Linked DNA regions of Arabidopsis thaliana. The protein of the gene in region 4 interacts with the protein of the main gene of each other region in a pairwise test. Each region holds a gene or a part of one and is shown on either strand. Other genes may lie near its edges. The genes, in order: ENODL15, ENODL9, CNGC5 and AT1G07860.

What was found.
Region 1: the proteins of AT1G07860 (region 4) and ENODL15 interact in a protein complementation assay, tested with the Arabidopsis thaliana proteins (one large-scale study listed by BioGRID).
Region 2: the proteins of AT1G07860 (region 4) and ENODL9 interact in a protein complementation assay, tested with the Arabidopsis thaliana proteins (one large-scale study listed by BioGRID).
Region 3: the proteins of AT1G07860 (region 4) and CNGC5 interact in a protein complementation assay, tested with the Arabidopsis thaliana proteins (one large-scale study listed by BioGRID).

The regions. Positions count from the first base shown.
Region 1 is NC_003075.7:15,399,242-15,403,794, forward strand, and holds ENODL15 (early nodulin-like protein 15), read left to right. Parts: upstream 1-2,398; 5' UTR 2,399-2,556; coding exon 2,557-2,740; intron 2,741-2,835; coding exon 2,836-3,185; 3' UTR 3,186-3,388; downstream 3,389-4,553. Other genes in the region: AT4G31830 (uncharacterized protein), read right to left, coding at 1,562-1,864; PGR3 (proton gradient regulation 3), read left to right, coding at 3,779-4,553. UniProt on the Arabidopsis thaliana protein: May act as a carbohydrate transporter. Required, together with ENODL11, ENODL12, ENODL13, ENODL14 and ENODL15, for male-female communication and pollen tube reception and burst at the synergid cell surface of the female gametophyte.
Region 2 is NC_003074.8:7,185,245-7,189,765, forward strand, and holds ENODL9 (early nodulin-like protein 9), read right to left. Parts: upstream 2,278-4,521; 5' UTR 2,210-2,277; coding exon 2,023-2,209; intron 1,935-2,022; coding exon 1,510-1,934; 3' UTR 1,278-1,509; downstream 1-1,277. Other genes in the region: PDIL5-3 (PDI-like 5-3), read left to right, coding at 88-231, 321-542, 643-804, 907-984, 1,069-1,146; COBL10 (COBRA-like protein 10 precursor), read right to left, coding at 2,819-3,760, 3,847-4,325. UniProt on the Arabidopsis thaliana protein: May act as a carbohydrate transporter. Mainly required for reproductive functions.
Region 3 is NC_003076.8:23,454,068-23,461,683, reverse strand, and holds CNGC5 (cyclic nucleotide gated channel 5), read right to left. Parts: upstream 5,120-7,616; 5' UTR 5,018-5,119; exon of another isoform or gene 4,787-5,017; intron 4,669-4,786; 5' UTR 4,569-4,668; coding exon 4,540-4,568; intron 4,361-4,539; coding exon 3,778-4,360; intron 3,617-3,777; coding exon 3,404-3,616; intron 3,013-3,403; coding exon 2,702-3,012; intron 2,562-2,701; coding exon 2,450-2,561; intron 2,312-2,449; coding exon 2,075-2,311; intron 1,914-2,074; coding exon 1,245-1,913; 3' UTR 1,063-1,244; downstream 1-1,062. Other genes in the region: AT5G57950 (26S proteasome regulatory subunit), read right to left, coding at 1-58, 237-341, 633-693, 779-1,006; APO2 (APO RNA-binding protein (DUF794)), read right to left, coding at 5,330-6,161, 6,247-6,599, 6,746-6,864, 6,967-6,994; ENODL10 (early nodulin-like protein 10), read right to left, coding at 7,428-7,616. UniProt on the Arabidopsis thaliana protein: Probable cyclic nucleotide-gated ion channel.
Region 4 is NC_003070.9:2,427,572-2,431,590, forward strand, and holds AT1G07860 (Serine/Threonine-kinase RLCKVII protein), read right to left. Parts: upstream 1,861-4,019; coding exon 1,695-1,860; intron 1,655-1,694; exon of another isoform or gene 1,613-1,654; coding exon 1,371-1,612; 3' UTR 1,340-1,370; downstream 1-1,339. Other genes in the region: AT1G07850 (transferring glycosyl group transferase (DUF604)), read left to right, coding at 1-208, 322-867, 1,029-1,148; AT1G07870 (Protein kinase superfamily protein), read right to left, coding at 1,371-1,612, 1,695-1,807, 2,372-2,670, 2,750-3,141, 3,247-3,436, 3,534-3,772.

The DNA.
Region 1 (4,553 bases), on a different chromosome or scaffold from region 4:
TTTATAAGTAGACGAAAATTAGTTTTTACCCTTAGTTTTATTTGTGTAAAACTTACTTGAATTATTTGGAATGTACAAATAGTTTCCGCAGAATAACTTTGGTCGTTTTCAGGTCTATCTTTATCTTATTGTTTTCTTCTTGAACATCATGAAATAAAATGATAGAAGACTCCACCAATATGGAGAAGACTCAATTGGATGTTTTGTAATAGTGGTGTGAGTTTCGTAATAGTAAGCTGTATTTGCCAAATGACGAAATGTTATCATATGGGTTTGAGGAATAAGTACACAAACCCTATTATCCAAGTAAAAAATAACGTGGCCATTTGTTTTATTTTGCACAAAACAATGTATATATATAATGTACGTATCTATTAAATTTGTAGCTCTAATTAATATTTACGAGTGAGAGAGTTGATTCTAATGACGTTACATACCAAACTTATGCAAAATCTCATTTAAGTCATTGAATTTCTATCTTTTTGTTATTGAAAAATTGGAAAGTGAAGATTTTAGATATTTAATTGTTAGTCATGAGTTATGGCTTATGGACGAGCCGTTAGATATGTTTCTAAGTAGTGGATACTTGAACTGAAGCTTTTAGTAGTAGTACTTTGAATGTTTTATCAGAATTGATTAGAAAGTAAACGATGATCAGCCTAATTTAAAGACGAAAATGTTGATTTATAAATAAAATGTGTGCAGTTGGTGAGGAGAGAAAAAAAAGTTTGTCGTCCAGGTTTTATGCTCATAAAGCAACACATGAGTGTTTCTACCTAACAGCCTATGTCAATACACTTACTTTTCTGGGCCATTAAGTGGACTCACCTAATTTTTTCATATTTATAACGTTACGATCTTATTTTATGCCAATCAACGTTTTTTAAAGACATGCGAATCACCAATTGTCTCATAGAATCAACTTGCTATTATTTTGTAGTTGACTAAAAAATTACTATTTCTTTCCTTAAACTTTTATTTGGCACTTGACAGTAAGTAATCAAGACCACATTGCCGATTCAAAATAATCACACCGTTCGAAATTTTCAAATTGAGTTTTCTTGTTAGAGAATTTACCCTAAAACTAAATCAAAACCAAACTGAATAAATTCCATAAACAATTGGAATTTTCTATTTTTCATTAAGACTGGAAATATAAAAACGTAATCAAAGTCATATCAAAAGACTGCAAAACCGGATTTGTAGTCTTTGAATGCCATGCATGATGATGCTCTACACATCTTTTAGGATATGGCCCAAAAATATTAATACGCAAAAGAAGCCCACAATAATGGCCCTACTTTTAAGCGACATAACACAGAGAAATGTAGAGGATTCGGTGATCTAAATTATACGCATGCATTTGCTACACAAGACTACTCTATTCCTCCCATTTTATTCTTCTGCTTGCTCTAGTAGTTGACATAAGCCATTCTTGGACACGTTATGTTATTTTATTACAAGTAAATAAGAAGTTCCAACAAGAGCATGAAGCAAGAACAAAATTACAAAAGCAAAAAAAGAAGAAGAAGATAAACCCTTTAATTCTTCCCTTGAAATTTTACTTTCTTGGATGTGTATCTTCAGGTTTAGCCGTCCCTGTGGCAGCCTTAGCTACATCAGTGGCAGTGGCTTCCGGCTTCTTCTTAGCATACATAACAGTGTACATGATGGCCCCCGAGATAGCTAATCCGGCTAGAGCCATCGTCGTGTAACTGTATGGCAAGTTACGGCGTTGATGAAGAACACCACCTGGATTACTTCCTGGCGGCCTCTTTGATGACTCAACGCCGGCAGCTTTTACTCCCTCCGAGCTCATCTTCGTCGTATCTGCTGTTTTTCTCCAGTCTTCTTCTCCGGCCATGCTTATGCCTTCTTCAGTATTTTTTTGGTTGGGACTATACTAATCATGGAAAATTCAGCTTTAGCTATAGGTTTTTGGATATAGTAAGAGTCACGAAGACACGTAGTGTCGTTGGAGTTTGTTAATGTGTTCAATAAGGGACACCTAGCTGATTCTCTTTATTTTCTGTAATAAACATATTAGGCAGGTGTCATGCCTTAGAATCGTAACTAAGCCAGGTGCCAAATTGGGTCTGGACTTTTAACTATAATCAAAATTTATGCCCAAAGTTGGAGGTTTTTGTCTTCTGCTTCTCATATGGGCTTTAGGCGATATGTCTTTTATTCATCTTTTATCAACTTCAAGGCCCAATAAACCCAGTTCCCACTAGCAAACAAAAAGTAAAGTACAAAAACAAAAAACAGAAACAGCTTAGCTTGACCAGTCTTCCTAGAAGACCGTGAAATCACTTTCTCTATCAGAGTTCAAGTTTTGTCGCTCAATCCTAACCGTTACGTTGCCTTTATCATCTCTCCAACGGATACATTAACATTTACCATTTTTTCCTTTTAATTTTTCGTAATTCCTAAACGGCTAGTTTCCAAGTCCTCTACCTTTATATAAACCACACAAGATCCACACTCTCTCCATCCTCAACACACTTTAAAACACATTACACACTCTAATACTTTTAAGGTTTTAGATTCTAATCAATGGCTTCTTCTTCTCTTTTGGTCACCATCTTCCTCTGCATCTCTGTCTTCTTCTTTTCGTCCGTGAATGCAAATGAGGTTACCGTCGGTGGAAAATCCGGTGACTGGAAGATCCCTCCTTCCTCTTCTTTCTCCTTTAACGAATGGGCTCAAAAGGCTCGCTTCAAAGTCGGCGACTTTATCGGTAAATCCATAATTTTCAACTTTTTTTTTTCAATTAGACATTTTGTGTGATCTTCAATATACTCTGTTTCTGACATCGTCACATGTTTATTACAGTATTCAAGTACGAAGCCGGTAAAGACTCGGTTTTGCAAGTGACACGAGAAGCATACGAGAAATGCAACACCACTAGCCCTAAAGCCAGCTACACCGACGGGAACACAAAGGTGAAGCTTGACCAAGCTGGTCCGGTCTACTTCGTCAGTGGAACAGAGGGTCATTGTCAAAAGGGTCAGAAGCTACGCCTAGTCGTCATCACTCCTCGTAACTCTGCTTTCTCTCCAGGTCCTTCGCCATCTGAGTTCGACGGTCCAGCCGTAGCTCCTACTAGTGGTGCCGCTAAGCTCGCCGGCGGATTTAGTGTCGTATTTGGGCTTGTTCTTGGATTATGGGCCTTCTTCTTTTAAAAGACAATTAGTCTTAATTCTATTTATTAATTTTGGAATATAAAGTAGAAATCTTTGTTATTTACTACATTAAATTTATTTTAATCTAAATTGTTCTTCCTCTTTTTCAATTCTGGATAAATTAGTTGGATCTATCAACAATCAACAAAGAAAACAAAACAAAAGTGAATGAGAATTTTGAATTTAGTACCCAAAAAGGTAATTTACAGCAACACAAAGAAACCTGGACTGTCGTGAAAAGAGGCCTAAAAATGGGCCTGAATTGGGCCTAAAGATATTTTGGGAGGGAAGCAAAACGGTAAGGATCGAGTGGAGCGAGTCTGATTTTATCCTCTCGGCAAGTTTTTTATTATTCTGCTTCGAAAATTCTTTCATCAAAAATCTCCGGTTCACCGAAATCGACTCCCTCGCGCTCTTTTCAGCCGGTGAACGGAGACGAATCAAAATGCTCATAGCTATTCAGCACGTGTTTGTGTTTTGTTAGTTATATCTGCGCCACTTGAAATGTGATGAATCATCATCGTTAATCTCTGTTTTCGTTTCAATTTTTGCCGGAGAATTGAATTGTTTTGCTTGCTTGGCTTATCTCTAGAATGGTCGCGTTACTCTGCTCTGCGAGTTTGTGTGGTGATATATCAGTTGGTGATGCTTGTCTTGTTAGTAACATCAAAGCAAAATGTCGCGATAATTTGGTTACTGGAGGATTAAAGTTCCACGCTTTGAAGATTGGGTCTCGGAAGAAACACTGGAGAAGGAAGAGTATGAGATGTAGTGTAGTCTCCATGAAAAGTTCTGACTTTTCGGGTTCTATGATAAGAAAGAGCTCAAAACCTGATTTGTCATCGAGTGAAGAAGTAACGAGGGGTTTAAAGTCGTTTCCTGATACTGATTCTTCATTTTCGTATTTCAAATCAGTGGCTGGGAATTTGAATTTAGTTCACACTACTGAGACTTGTAACTACATGCTTGAAGCTTTGAGGGTTGATGGTAAACTTGAGGAAATGGCTTATGTGTTTGATTTGATGCAGAAAAGAATCATAAAGAGGGATACTAATACTTACTTGACTATCTTCAAGAGTCTTTCTGTGAAAGGTGGATTGAAGCAAGCACCTTATGCACTTCGGAAGATGAGAGAATTTGGTTTTGTGTTGAATGCATATTCATACAATGGGTTGATTCATCTTCTGCTTAAGTCTAGGTTTTGCACAGAGGCAATGGAGGTTTATAGAAGAATGATCTTGGAAGGTTTTAGACCTAGTTTGCAGACTTACTCTTCACTTATGGTAGGTTTGGGGAAAAGAAGGGATATTGATTCTGTGATGGGTTTACTTAAAGAGATGGAGACTTTGGGGTTAAAGCCGAATGTTT
Region 2 (4,521 bases), on a different chromosome or scaffold from region 4:
TATATACATGCACAGCATATCTTTGTGCTACGTTTTGAGTCAACAGAAAGCAGTCTAAAAGTTCATATAAGATTTTCTTTCTTCCAGATGGTGGAGGGACTGGTCGCACCTATCCACCCGGAGACTCACAAGGTGGCTTTGGATGGAAAATCCAATGATACTGTAAAACATCTTAAAAAGGGACCAGTTACAGGAGGTTGTAGAGTTGAAGGTTATGTACGTGTAAAGAAGGTAAACCTCGGACTGAAAAGTGAACACTGAATGAATGTCCTGTAATTGATTTGTGGCATGTACTGAAATTTGTCTTTTGTATGTTTCAGGTTCCAGGAAATCTCGTGATCTCAGCTCATTCAGGAGCTCATTCATTTGATTCTTCTCAAATGAACATGTCGCATGTTGTTTCTCATTTTTCGTTTGGGAGGATGATTTCTCCTAGGCTGCTGACCGATATGAAGCGATTGTTGCCATATCTTGGCCTAAGCCATGACAGGCTGGATGGAAAGGCATTCATAAATCAACATGAGTTTGGTGCCAATGTCACTGTAAGTCCCAGAAACCTTCATAGGAATTTAGAGTCTTGAACAATCGTCAAATTTTCTTTTACTGGCTCTCATCTAACTGTTTTCAACATGCTTTCTACAGATCGAACACTACCTTCAAACAGTCAAAACAGAGGTCATTACAAGAAGATCCGGTCAAGAACATTCACTGATAGAGGAATATGAATACACCGCTCACAGCAGCGTGGCTCAGACTTACTACTTACCCGTTGCGAAGTTTCACTTTGAGCTCTCTCCTATGCAGGTTCAGTCCTCATTTACACAAACAAGAGATTATCTCTCGAAAATGTCACAATATATATACTTTCCTCTTTATAATTACTCCTTGGTTGGTCTGTTTTTGCAGATCTTAATAACCGAAAACCCGAAGTCCTTCTCACACTTCATCACAAATCTGTGTGCCATTATTGGTGGTGTTTTCACGGTTAGTAATTTCTCAGTTACCTTGCGTCTTCATACCCGCATGGATTCAATGGTCATTTCTGATTTTACATGTGGATTTTTTCAGGTTGCCGGAATACTAGATTCGATTTTTCACAATACAGTAAGACTGGTAAAAAAGGTCGAACTTGGGAAAAACATTTGATCGTCCACTGGAGGTTAGAATTTTCCATTAATATATAAAACCATAGAAGAACCTCAGACTGTTTACTTTGAATAGCTGATCTACACAGAAAAACTCAAAAAAAGAGAGAATTTTTGTTTGACACAATCTTAGTTTCTTTATGGTTCTTGTTCTATTAAAATCCGCCTGGTTTTTCTTATCCTTCCATTACTATATACATATGACATCAGTAAAATACACACGAGTAGAACTTTTATTCATATACATGAAAAACAAATGGGGTAAAAAATCAAACAACAAACACCAATTGACACAAACTTGGATGAAGAGGGAAAGGGAAAAGACTCGATACAGAATGAAAAGGGAAGACAAAAGAGAAACTTCTTAGTGTAGGAATAGAGTGGAAGCTAGAGCAGCCCCAAGAAGAGCAGCGACAAATGATAAGGAAGAAGCTGCGCTGTTTGGAGTGTCTTCAGAAGTAGTAGGCGTCGGTGCTGGGGTCATCTCAAAGGTTCCCGAGACAGGTGGAGAAGGAGCGGATTCTCCTGAGGGAGCTGGGGCTGGGGACGGCGGTGATGATGCGGTGTTTTTGTTGCCGCTTCTATCAGCCATGACGATGACCACAAGCTTCTCGTTTTTCTTGCAGTTGTCTTTGTTTCCACTAATGAAATAGTATGGCCCAGAGTGGTTCAGCGTGACAGAAGTTTTGCCATCGGCGAATTTAGCGGTTGGTGAGTCCGTGTTGCAGCTGTCGTAAGCGTCTCTTGTGACTTGGAGCACTGAATCTTGGTTTGATTGGTAGACGAACACTGCATTGTATAAATTTGTGTCATATGCGAAGAAACTAAGATTGCAGTTAACGAATCAAATAGTATCAATACAGTGTGAAAAACTTACACAGAGAGTCACCAATTTGGAATCTGCTCTGTTCTGCCCATTGACTGTACACTTGAGAACCAGAAGGGACGGTCCAACCTGTTGCACCACCGACCGTAAACTCTCTAGCGTAGGCTCGGTCAACGATCATAAGAAAACACAAGAGACCAAACCCACAAAGCATCATGCTCTTTAGGTTTCGTGCCATTTCGTAAGCTAAATAACAGAGATTTTAGAAAGGTGAAGGTGAATCTAGTGTGGTATAGGGTTTGATATGAGATGATGAAAGGCAAATGGGTTTATATAAAGGTGATGCTTTTTGATTTTGAGGAAATGTTGCAGAGAAGCTTTTTATTGTCTTTTTTCAAATTCTAAGCAAAGCATAAATGCCAGAAGTGTTTCAGTTTTGGAATCTCATGTGACTTGCTTCTTCTGTCAATGGCTTTTGTTCTTTGCTTCAGAATCTTTGTGTTATATTTTATTATTACTTTTCGGATAAAGATCTTCAAGAACGAAGAGAGATTTCACAAAAACATCAAATCAAAGTACTAAGATCTTCTTCATGCCAAAAAAAAGGCCAACACTAATCTGAGATTTTGGGATTACTAGAGAACAACATACACTTTAATACTTTTATAGACCAAACAAAAGTATTAATACAACATTGTCAATATTTTTCCAACTTAGATCAATCATATAACAATCTGCTCCTTTTGATCCTTCCTCTGTTCAGCAACATCATCAAAACACCAATCTTAAGAATTTGAAGATCAAAAAAACTGATCAAGAATGGTAAGTATAGTTATCTCCTCAGTAATTAATCCATCATTAGTGCAAAAGCCGCGATTGTTGCGAAAACAAAGGACATTGAGACACTGATACCGCGTCTATGCCCTGAGCTCTTCTTAGGGAAATGTTTTGGAAGCGCACATTCTTCTCCATTGAAGAAAAGCTTTGTTGGGAAACCGTCGCCTTCGGGAATATTCAGTCCTTTGATGTTTTTCTTGGTGAAGGAGATGACAGATTGTTGCTTTCCGGGCACGGGAGGGTCTCTTAATGGATTTGTTCCATTAACTTGACCTACAAGATAGTTCATACCAGGCAAGCCTTGGAAGATAACGGTTCGATTGCTTGGTGGAACACGTGTTCCATTAAAGGAGTAAACGTTTTCATATCCTGGACCTGCCTTTCCCATATCAATCGCCACAAACCAATCCTCAAACGCGAAATCTCTCCAATTAAAAACGGTTAACCTTGCGGTCCAACCATTTTTGTAATCCGTGCTAACGTGCCAGTTAATGCTGACTCCGCAGTTATCTGGACAAGGAAGTTTCTTTGGTACTGGCATGTGATTTTGTTTAGCCCAAGCTTTAGCTTTTAAGGTTCGGTTATCGAACGGAACAAGGAGAGCGTCAGGAGGGAGGAGGAGCGGGTTACTGTTAGCATTGCAAGTGTCGGTATCGATGTCATTGCATCCGCAAGCACAAGTGTTGCAAGGAACTGCAGAGTTGTTGTAAAATGCAGAGAAAGAGACACAACATCTTGAGGCTTGGGCTTTAGGCTTGGTTATGTTGCAGACCACTTGCCAGCTGGAGATGGCGTAGGTTACAGCCAGTAGACCGCTAGGATCAGGGAATTGAGACGGGTCAACACGAACCGGTGGCCCGCATTTGTACTGAGGATTGAGAACACCGTCGATTTTCCAATGCTGAGGTGGGTATAGAGCTGTTCTGTTTAGGTCAGGAGGCAACTTGAAAACCTAACAAATTGAGAGAAAACAAAAACTTCAAAACCCGAAGATTTCTACGATCTCATAACATATTTTAAACGAAAGAGATGATTTACCTGCAATTGAAACATAGATCTAGATTTCGAAGGATCCATAATAGGTGGCAAGAGAGTTCCGTTTTTGCAACAGAAAGGTAACTTTCCTGTCATGTTATCTTCCTTCTTCTCAGGAGGCAAATCGGAAATGGCTGGTTTTCTCTGACAATTCATGACCTGGGAGAAATCTAAGTCTTTGTAATACTGTCCAGCTTTGCTATAAAGGCATTCCGATGGATCTTTCTTATGAGTGTAAGCTCCTCGCATAGTGTTTATAAACTCTCCTCGCATCCATTCAAAAGTCAGGTTCCAACGGTCTAACCGCCCGAGAGGATTATCATTGTCGATGGTCACTTGGGCTAAGTAGTTGCTGTCGAATGATTGCAGAACATCGTAGACTATGTTCAGGTCACCGTACCTTCTCGGTGCAAACTTTGTCTTTAGTCCGATCTTGTTCTTGATCTTAGGGTTTCTCTTGCAACACACGTGCATACTACCTCCTGCGCAAGATAACAAAACACACCGTTTTGAATATCACATTCACCACATCTTTTTTATTTTTGTTTGACAATTATATTAGGGAGTGTAAATATTTAATGATTTAACCTAAATTGATTCATAAACTGCAAATGCAAACGCAATTTTTTTTTTACGTTTTGCATTGCGTTCATAATTTCCCTATAAATAATATTTTGA
Region 3 (7,616 bases), on a different chromosome or scaffold from region 4:
TGCATGGAGGCAGATAAAGAATTTACTGCAGCACCTGACAAGCTTGTTTCTTCTGGACCTGCATCATTATCTATTCATAAGCTTTGTATCCACCCACGTCGTGCATATGGTTTCAAACTATAAAATGAACTTCTATTAATCATAGCCTTAAGAAAAAGGACCAGAATCAGAAAAGATGATTAAGCCAATCAAAGATTCCAAGCTGAAATTTGGAGCTTCTTCCTGTACAGTCATACCTGAATCTTTTGTGGATGAAGCTCTAGATGTAGGCCTCACTGAATGAAGAATTTGAATGTTCACATTTATCTTTTCCGTTATCTCCCCGTGCTCACTCCTTAACTCTGTGTGGGTGTAGAAACTATTTCAGATAAATAAACCAACTCAAAACGGAAGAAGTAGGGAAAAACTTAACAACTGGTTCACTGTAGAAGCTACACATCAAGCTTGATTCCTTTCAATCTCATTTCCAGCTCACAAAACTATGAATAAACCTCAAGCCAACTAGCCAAGACAAAAACCTAAACTACATATAATCAGTATGATTCTGCTATGTTTCCTAAGTTTAAACTAACCTTGGAGTTGTAGTCTCACCCTAACTATGGACTAATTCAGCACAAGAAAAGAGAAATCACCAGCAAGACGACGGCGCTCAGTTCTCACCATGGGAATGTCAATATCTTCCCGAGGAAATCCCTGCCATAAGCAAACGAATCAAAGGAGAAAATTAAGCAGAATTTTCGGTTAAGATTAGAGAAGAGTGAGGACGCAGATACAGTACCTCCGAGTCGATGAGATTGCCGGAGAGACCAGGACCACCGGGATTGCAGAGACGTTCGACAATAGAGTTCATCTCCGTCTCCATGGCTGTTCTCTTGTCCATTAGAGCCATCGTCTCCGCTTTCAGATTCGCGCCAACCATCTTCTCTTCTCTTCTCCAAGTCCGATCGATTCTTAATTCTTTCACCGAAATCAATCGCAACTTCTCTCTACCTTGGGACCGGAGCATGTCACCGTGAATATATTGTGGGCTTCATTAAAAGGCCCAATAGACCCATTCTTTAACCGGCATATGATCCTAACCGTACATTTATTAAATCCAACGGCTATAATCTCTTTGTTTCTACACTTCATATATTAATTTTACAGACAGCACAAGCAGCTTTAAAGCCAAGCAATATTTGTTTATCTCAACCGTAATGATTCCCATAAATTATAAACAATAATGTCTACAAGCTGCTCAATCATCAGTCAGCAGTGAAATCAGGCTCAGGAGGCTTCTGCAGCTTCACCAAATCCCTAATCTTTGTGTTCCGGTTCCTGTGAATGGTGCGAAGCGCATTAGCCGCAAACTTAGTGGCAAGAAATGCAGCCCCAATGGAGTATGAAGGTCCAGCGGTTGAGCTGGACACAGCCGCGGCCTCGGCTTCTGCCTCTTCCATTTTCTTCCTCTTGCAGTATCTACGCCAGGCAGCCTGGATGAAACAAGCAGCCCAAGTCCTCCATTGGTGAGAGTAAAACCTGAATGTGTGCTGCACTTGCCTGCTATGTAAGCGCCGGAACTGGCTTGCTACAAACTTCAGCTCCTCTGAGGTCAGCGCAAACGCCTCTACTTCTGTCAGAGCTTTCACGGTCCTCGTGGAAGACGGGAGATTTACACCTGATTTTGGATCCAATGCCCATGTCAGAAGCTCTTCCCCGCAGAATTCTCCTTCTTTCAGGAGACTGCGGTTGAAGAAACCGCTCCTGCCTCCATCTGTTGTCACACTCTCGAGGCGACCACGTATTATGAATAGCATCTCGTCTACAGGATCTCCTTCCCGCACTAAGTAGGTACTCTCTGTGAACAAGCATGGTTTCAGCCGCATACAGATCGCATCCAGCAGCTTGTCGTCCATGCTCTTAAACAATGGAACCTAATATTATGGTAAAAACGTATCATGAACCAAGCTAGCTTGTCGATGGTCAAGAGCTCGTTTTAGTTATGAGCCGACTGTTATTCAATGGGTCCTAGATGTTCAAAAGGGTGTGTGATCTATGTGAGAAGCTTGAATAAGGAACAGCGGGGAGAACTTACCCTTCGCACTAAAGCCAGACAGAGATGCCGCTTGATGTCTCTCCGGAGATCCTTGGGAAGATTCTGAACGAGATACTCTTCATCTACACCACGTGTCTCCAACCATTTATACTGGTCATAGCGCCTCACACGCTCCCTAAGATCTTGTGGTAACATTCTGTGATGCATCCATTGTTCTGAATCACGCCTCTTTACTCTCATTTCTTCAAGCCGGATGGTAAGAGATTGGAGATATGTCTGTCCCAAGATTGCAAAATGTTGTTAGATAGTCATTATGCAGAGGAAACAAATTATGCATGATGCTTCCATTGAAAGAGCTTACAAGAAATTTCTAATGATCACGAAAGTAGCTAAGGTTGCACCATAATTACTCACCTGCATGTTTCCAATGAGAAGAGCAAAGAGGATCAACCCAGAAATGGCGAGAGATATGGAAAATATAATCTCCATTGGGTATGTACTGGTTTCAAGCCCTTGTCCAAGTGTACTGTGGTGCAACAATGAGAAGTACTATATGAATATCTGAAACTCATAGACGCATAACTTTGATAAAGGAGCCGAGTTTAGTGAGAATTGGTAAGATCAAAGCAATAGTCTTTCGACTGAATAGTGATAGAACATGGTTACCTCAAGTTCTGAAGGCCCCACCACAAACAATAACAATATTTTACGATGAAGTTTTGGGACGAGACAATTCCAGACGATAAAGCCTGTGTATAAATCCCAAAGTCAAATGGAGGATTATTATCATCGAGGTCAGCTCGGCACTTGGACTTAAGAACAGATTCCTTGGCTCTGTTCCAAACAGCATAGCCGTCCATGTTTTGATTGCCACAGTACAAGAAATCTGTGCTGCAATTCCCTGCATCTATACAGGCCTCCTGCCAGCAGGCGTCGTTACGTTCTAAGGCTAAAAGGTACCAAAAAGCTCCAACTATCTGCAAGATACGAAACAGTGGCTCAATCAAAATAGCACTTACCAAGTCAATACTATTATTGAAGAGTAAATAAGCTATACAATCAGAGTTGCTCGTCATAAGAAACTTGACATTTGTGATCCCATGAGGCATGAACATCAACTAAGATAAAACGAAAGGTTGCATAGAACATCAAAGGTAAGCATAGACGGCTTAACCAGAAAGCTCAATAAGCTCCTTTACATGTCTTAGGAAACTAAACATTTGAACATAAGTTCATAACAGTGAAACGGATATGCAAATATTTCCTTGTTTTGCACTTTTGGTGCCACAGTCACATAACTCATGGTGAATGGGCAAGCATTGAATAGTACAAGCAACGTCTTAAAATGAAAAAGGTATATAAACTCACATGACTTGCAAGCATATATAAAAGCAGATAATAAGCGGCACCAGCCCAAGCCGTTTCAGCAAAGACACCTGCTGTCCTTTTCAATTCTGACGTCAAGGGTAAGACACGTAGGAATCGCGGTATATACTGGACCAAAACAATGAAAAGCAAGGCCTGCTTTGTAGCCAATACATCCGACCCATTTGAACTTTGCAAGAACCTCCAAACTACAATCTGCACATACACAAAATGAGTACTGTAAATCTAGAACTAGAAAGCGCTTGACAGAGATGTCTGATCACCAACTACTGGCTACTGCACCCTTTCAACAAATTAAGCAATGATGTTTTCCAACACACAATTTACTGAAATGATCAAAACTTATATTAACCAACCTGAGGGAGAGGAAGTACTGAGAGAAAGTCAATAATAAACCAACGTTGTAGATATCTCTTTGCTATCTGTGCAGGATCAATCACGAGTTCACCTCGCCCAAAGACCCGTGATGAAGGTGCAATATAAGCAGTCCTAAGCTGGAGAGCCATGTGAGCGAGATAAAACACATCGATAAAAGTCCGCAATGTACTTGCTGTGATAGCCAGTTTTCTGTCAATACCCAGGCACTTGGACTCAGCATTAATCACAGGAAGATAGAAGAAAAAAGGGTCCACAAACACTGAAAGAATACATGACGCAACGAATAATTTATTGCAATACAAAAGGAATTTATCCTGAGGATCAAATATCTTCTTTTCAGATACTTTAAGGTCTTCTGGGAACACTGCTCGATAAACACCGAAACCAAGTGAACGTCCGATCGACTTAAGCCCTTTGGAACCCTTCTGGATACCTTTCTTGAAGGATCTAGAAGTTTCATTGCTTGCATGAATAGGATGAAGTTGTCCACTGAAATTGGAGGCGTAGTTCTGTTGGAAGGCTACAGATGATGATGGTAACCTAGAGTCCAAATCATCCACCCTATAAAAGGTATGAACAACACCACTTTCAGATTACTATGCACCAACAAGCTATAGTTCAGTACAATCACACTATACTTTCATAAGGAAACAAATCAGAAACAACCATTGCCAAATCAATACGTTTCTCACATTCAAACTTCAGATCTTTGTATTAAAACAAAAGGATGCAGCACTAACCTCACAAAGTTTTCTCTTTTCCCTGCCATGATTGCTTACAAGGAATTCAGAACTCAAGAGCCTTCCAAGATCACTTGCTCAAATCGATGAAGAAAGAGCACAGCTTTAAGACTCTAATCATTAAGCAAGCTGCATCATCCCAAAATAAGACTAAAATACTTAACCTTTGAAAGACCCAAGTAAAAATAAGTCATAACCATATGAAGTTGTCAAGTTGTGCTAAAATGAAGATTAGACTAACTCTGACCAGTATGAAGCGAAGCAACATCATTACATCAACTCAAATGGATAAAAAAGGAAAAAATTTGATGAATGATGGACACCGACACATAGTAACAAATTTAAAGAGGTAGAGCTAGAGAACCAATCTTAAATTTCTCGCATAGAAAAAAGGAGAATTGAATCTTAGAACAAAATTAGAAATAGAGCAGACGTGAACTTGCTGAAGCAAGAGAAAGAGACAAAGACAAAGGCTTACATGGCTACACGGTTTCAAGGGTCCCGTTGATGAGGATAACCAGAGGAACAACTACGAACATGAAAAAGATGAAAGTGGGTATAAAGCTACCAGACAAGTGGTATCGACTTGACACAGACAAAAAAAAGAAAATGGCAACGAGAAAAGATGAAAACGAAGCAAATGACATTTTTACCCTTGATAATAGGATTAGCGTGGATTGTTTTTTTTGTCCTTCAAAAGTCAAAAAGACCTGGGCTGTGATATTATTATACAACACAAGGTGGAATGGAGGATTTTGTACAAGAAGAAGTTTACAAGGTCTTCTACATATCAAACAACCATCTCAGCTTCTTTCACACTCGAAGGAATTCCAACCTCCAGTCTCATTGTAGCTCTATAATGCTCAGGTACAACAGCGCCAGCCTGAGCACATATCTCCACAACAGCAGGTGCTTGCCCGTAGAAGCTTCGTAGCTCTCGCTGCATCGGTGGCCCATTCACATCAGGAACATGCCAAACATATCTTGGCGGTATCAAGTCGTCAAGTACTGCAGATTGCCAACCATGCTGGCCATTCCGCTGTTGGTGCTTGAATGCACCACAGTTCTGGGCCTTGTGTCCCGTTGGACCTACGTGAACCTCTGGACAGTACCCACAGACCCTAACCCTGTACATCCTCATCAGCTTTTTGGCTCCTGCTCTCATTTCTTCCCAGGCCTGTAATGTTTCTTCGGCTAAGGAGACTGTTTCTTCTTCGCTAGATGGGGGAGTGATCTCTGAGACAGGTAACTCAGTTAACAATGGCACTGGAGGAGGCTGAGGCTCTGGATCAGGCAATTCAGTTTCATCTGCATCAACAAACTCGCTTTTGCCAATGCGGATAATCGGTTTTCTTCTCCTTTTTGCTGGAAATTCGGGTATTTCAACGCCGCCCTGAATGCAGAGCTCAACTACAGCAGGAACTCGGGGAATCGAGAATCTTTCATCATGACGGATACGCTTGCCAAGGCGGTCAAAAAGGTGATAGGCTTCAAGAGGAACAATAACGTCCTCAATAACCGAGTTAGTCCATTCATGAAGACCTTTCCTTTGGGAAGTATTGGGACCTTTACACGACTTAAATGGATGCCCATAAGGTCCAACATGAATCTCATTGCACCACCTAAGAGACCAATCATACAACATCAAAAAAAGGCCATACTCAAAACAGACCAAAAATGAAACAAGAAGAAGAAGAGAATTTTTACCCACAAGCATTAACACGAACAACTTTCATAAGCCGGTGGAGATTGTTGATCAATCTGATTCTTGCATTGTATACTTTATAAGCAAGAGGCACAAGGCTCTTCACAACCATACCATTTTTAGGCGGAGGTAGAGGTCTCTTAGGTTTGTCTTTGTTGTTCTTGACTCTCTCCCTCGCAGCTCGTCTCAGGTCCACAATAGGGACTGGGAAAGGTTTCTTCTCTCGCCTTGTGTACTGCTTAGGTAAGTCTTCATTCTGAGGACGATCATTTCTCACAACTAATGGCAGAGATCGACGCTCTTTACTAAGCACAACTCTTGAATTCAACTGAAGGCTAAACTCAATGCTACTTCCCTGCACAACATATCCGCACATAACAGTAAACATTGACTCTCTACTTCAAAGGGAAGCAACGAAGTGTGGTCTAATTCTAAGAACCAAAACAACAACGAAGCAGAGTCTGGAGAATTGGATGATACTGACTAGTAAAGGAATCTGACCTGAAGAGAAGGAGAGAACCCAAATCTATAAAACGTGTTGGGATTAAGAAATTGCCTCCTGGTTACGCTATGAATAGCAAAAGGTACACTTTTTGGTGAAAACCCAGAAACTGTACTAGCTGGATAAAACAACGGAAACCAAAATCAATCACAGTCTCACAATAAATGGATAAAATTGAGCATTGAGGACGGATTCGACACACAGTGAGGAAGAAACTTACAGGAAATAGCGGAGTACGTTATCGACATCGTCGACAGTTGCTGGATTAAACCATTGGAAGATGGAGGATAAGGAAGAGAGAGCGGTCTCAGTCCCGGAGACGAAGAAGATAGCTAATGTAAATCGTGGACAAGCTTAAAGCTAATAAGTTCAAATAATGGGCCTTTAATGGGCAGAAGTTCCCATTAGGCCCACTTATAATAACATTTGTTTCCAAATTCCACAGTTGTATAACCGATCCGGCCTTTAATGTTTTCTTTCCAATTTGAATTTAGGATATTAACCAAAACTAACATTGTATTAAACACTCAGACAGAGTAATGCAAAGAAACAAGTAAACTTACAAACCGAAATCGAACCGAATTGGCTAAGAAACAAGACTAAATCACAAGCCAAAGTAACAAGTAAACCGGAAAATACAAACCGAAATCGAACCGAATTGGCTAGAGGTAATTCACAAGACTAAACCAAAAGGCCTAATGGAAGAAGAAGAAGCAAACTCCATGCTGTGTTCAGGCTTCCCTTGTTCATGATATGAGCGTTTAAAGGAGCAGCAGCAACGCTTCTGTTGTAATTTGGAGACAAGACAATGTTTACAGGAGCAGGAGCATCAACAACGCTTCTGTTGTGATTTGGAGACAAGACAACAAC
Region 4 (4,019 bases):
GGCTCACGTTCAGAACATCTTCTTCTCATATTCAATGGCATTTGGAGGCGGTGGGTTCGCCATCAGCTATGCTCTAGCCCTCGAGCTCTTGCGGATGCAGGACCGTTGCATCCAACGGTATCCTGGTCTCTACGGCAGTGATGATCGCATCCAAGCTTGTATGACTGAACTTGGTGTACCCCTCACCAAAGAACCTGGCTTTCACCAGGTGTCATTTTCTACGTTTCCTCGATGTTTAATTACTTCGGTTTGGTTTCGGTTCGGATTAGAACGGTTTATCTGGATTGAATACGTCTAATTTTAATGTTTCTATGTATGCAGTACGATGTTTATGGGGACTTATTGGGGTTATTAGGTGCACACCCAGTGGCTCCCTTGGTGTCGCTGCACCACATCGATGTGGTGCAGCCGATATTCCCAAAGATGAAGCGGTCACGTGCACTACGACACTTGATGTCTTCAGCAGTTCTTGACCCAGCCAGCATATTCCAGCAGTCCATCTGCTACGACCAGAACCGGTTCTGGTCCATCTCGGTCTCATGGGGTTTCGTAGTCCAGATAATCCGAGGCATCATATCCCCTCGCGAACTTGAGATGCCTTCAAGAACATTCCTCAACTGGTTCCGCAAAGCCGACTACATTGGTTACGCGTTTAACACGAGACCAGTGTCGAGGCATCCGTGCCAAAGACCATTTGTGTTTTACTTAAACTCGGCTAAGTATGATGAAGGACGTCGCCAAGTGATTGGATACTACAACTTGGACAAGACAAGGCGGATTCCCGGGTGCCGATGGAGGCTCGATTCGCCTGGAAAGATCGATTCAGTCGTCGTTCTCAAGCGACCTGATCCCCTCCGATGGCACAAGGTTGGTCCACATCTTCTCTTTGCTTCATTATTAACAACTTGCATCAAATATAGTCATACCGGTTTGGTTTTGGCTAGTGAATTGACAGAGATAACCGGCTGAGATCATATAATAAACCGGTGTTGAAATAACATGATGTTAAAATTGTGTGTTTGGTGCAGTCACCGAGGAGGGATTGTTGCAGAGTATTGCCGAGTAGGAGAAACCAAACGATGTATATTTGGGTCGGAAATTGCGCAGATGGAGAGATCAGTGAGCTTGAACATCCTCAGCAGCATTAACAAGATTCAGATATATACTCACTAAAGATTTCTTCAAATGACTATGCAATTTGTTGAAAACATTCTGTGTATCGTCGTTCACAAACAATTCTCAATCCTAAATCAAAAACTATTGTTTCAACTGAAGCAAATACAAAGAAAAGAAAAATTCAATCCCTGAAAGTTATCTGTTCATGAAAGAAATCAGTAAGAAACTGAAAGAAACTTTTCTCCGTTCAGAGATTAGACTGCGTGTGGCTGTTTTGCTTTGTTCACCGACTGGGTTGCATTTTGCTGCGATTGAGTTGCGTTGTGAAAAGTTGTGAGATTCTGATTGGTAGAGACGACGGCGACGAGAGCTGAGGAGGCTGGTGAAACAGCAGAGGAAGCAAGAATCGCTAAACTGACATGAGACTCGTTTCTCACGGCCATGGATTTCTCAAGACGATGTATCGACATTATCTCTCCATCGTTCATGACGCTCACTGTAACCAAAACCAAAATCAGAAAGACTCATTTTCTCGGGAAAATCTTTTCTTAGATTAAAGAATCGGAGAAATAAGGAACCTGAGTGGGAGAAAATCCAGAGGGTGAAGAAACAGAGAAAAACGATCACCGGAATTGCATGGATCCAATACTCCGATACCGGAAATATCCCTCTCCGGGTGTTTCCTGTCCTTCTGCCAATGTGAGAAGAAGAGATCGGGAGCTGAGAGAATGATCTTTCCGCCATTGTTGTCTTATCTTGTAGCTTCTCTTCCAAGAATCACAAAACCAGTAGAGAGAGATAAGAGAGAAGAGATTTGTGAAGCCTTCTTGGATTAGGTTTTGGTTATTTAACGGCAAAAATCTTAACGGGTTCACGCGGGATAAGTTGCATCACGTGATCATAGTCCTATTTCTATTACATATTTACGACTTTTGCCATTCATCATTATGAATTTTTAGACATTACTTAATCCTAATTTACCAGACTTTTTGATCGGGAAAATATATATATGACCAACGATATTTGTTTTTGTTCAATATATGTATATATGTCCCAAAACAAAATGGTTTTTTTTTTTTTTCCTTTTCTACAGAACAGAAACATTCTACATACAAAGAAGCCGAGTCAAGATTTACATCCACAATAGATGTTAAAAATGTACCTGAGTTGGTTTTATATTTTTCCCCAATTTCTTGGTGAAGCCAAAATTAGATTTGATTTTTTACCACTCTCTTATTGGATATCCTATGAGGACCCTTCACATTCAGTTTCCTTGACGAGGTGTGGTCTTTTCTCTTCATCATCTCTGTCTCTGTGAAAAGAAGGGTTCTTCCCGCTGCTGCTGCTAGGGCTATTCGGATCATATTTAGAAGAGGCTAAGAAGTTGAGAGCCAATACTACATCAGATACCACTGGTCTCATGGTAGGCTGCTCTTGAACGCACATTGCTGATATTGCTAGTGCTTGGTACAGTCCTCTAACTGGGTATTGTCCCTGAAGCAATGGATCAACCATTTTTGGGAAGTTCCTCCTGTCTTTGAACAATGGTCGTGCCTGTTAAAAAGCACCGTGAAAATATGAGTCTTGTTTCAGTAAAGATTATTATGAGTCACAGCCAAGAGACAAAACATACCCATCCAACCAAATTCTGATCTTTACGCGTTTTTGTATTGTCAATCGCTTTCCTTCCGGTGATAAGCTCGAGAAGGACTACTCCAAAACTGTATATATCGGATTTAAATGTGAGCTGACCCGTCATAGCGTAGTCAGGAGCACAGTATCCGTACGTTCCCATAACCCTTGTCGAGACATGGGTTTTATCCCCGCTTGGTCCTACTTTAGCCAACCCAAAGTCAGATAGTTTCGGTTGATAGTCTTCACCAAGCAAAATATTCGAACATTTAAGATCTCGGTAAATCACAGGGGGCGTCATTCTGTCATGCAGATACTCTAAACCTCTTGCTGCACCAGCTGCTATTTTCATCCGGGTGTTCCAGTCAAGAGGCTTTTTACCAGAAGGGAGAACTTGAAACAGTCAAAACAACAATGTAAAAGTTAGATGAGAAAAGGGGGTAGCTGCGAGACAAACAATACAGAGGCAAAGGATAGGAATTTGATCTTACAACATACCATGTAGATGATCTTCAAGGGATCCTTGCGGCATATACTCGTACACCAGTAGTCTCTGATCACCCTCAGCACAAAACCCAATAAGCTTCACAAGATTCGGATGGTCAGCAAGACTTAGAGTCAATACCTCAACCACAAATTCCCTGATTCCTTGAACCCCATTACGATCAAGTTGCTTGATTGCAACAACCTAGCAGCAGAACCAAGTTTCACCAACCGTTCAAAACTATGACAAATCTCACAGCCAATTGATAAAAACAGATAGGATTTTTCTTTGTCACAAGTACCTGATCCAATTTCTCTATAGTTCCCTTGAAAACTTTTCCGAAACCTCCTTCACCAAGAAAACAATCCGATCTAAAGTTTCCCGTAGCTTCTGCAAGTTCTTGAAAAGTAAAAGTCTGTGCTTTCTTCCCTGTGACTTGGTCATTTAGATTCAAACCCTTCACATCCAAAGATAACTGATCTTCCTTACCAACTCCTCCTTCATTGTTTACATCTCTATATGGACTGACTTTTGTTGAATCTACAACACATGGAACGAGTAACAAAATCGATTACCAGTTATCATGTGACTTAACCAAAAACAGACACGGCAAGATACCAAAGGCTCAATTTTGACACTTTGTCCCCTCATGGAGGAGACAAAACCAAAAAAAACTAGCTCGATTTCAAAAACCCAACATCGTTTATATGGTGAATAGTACACATGCATCAAAATTCTCCGGGGAAAAATCACAAAAAATCTCCATTAAATGTCTCTCCCAAATGTA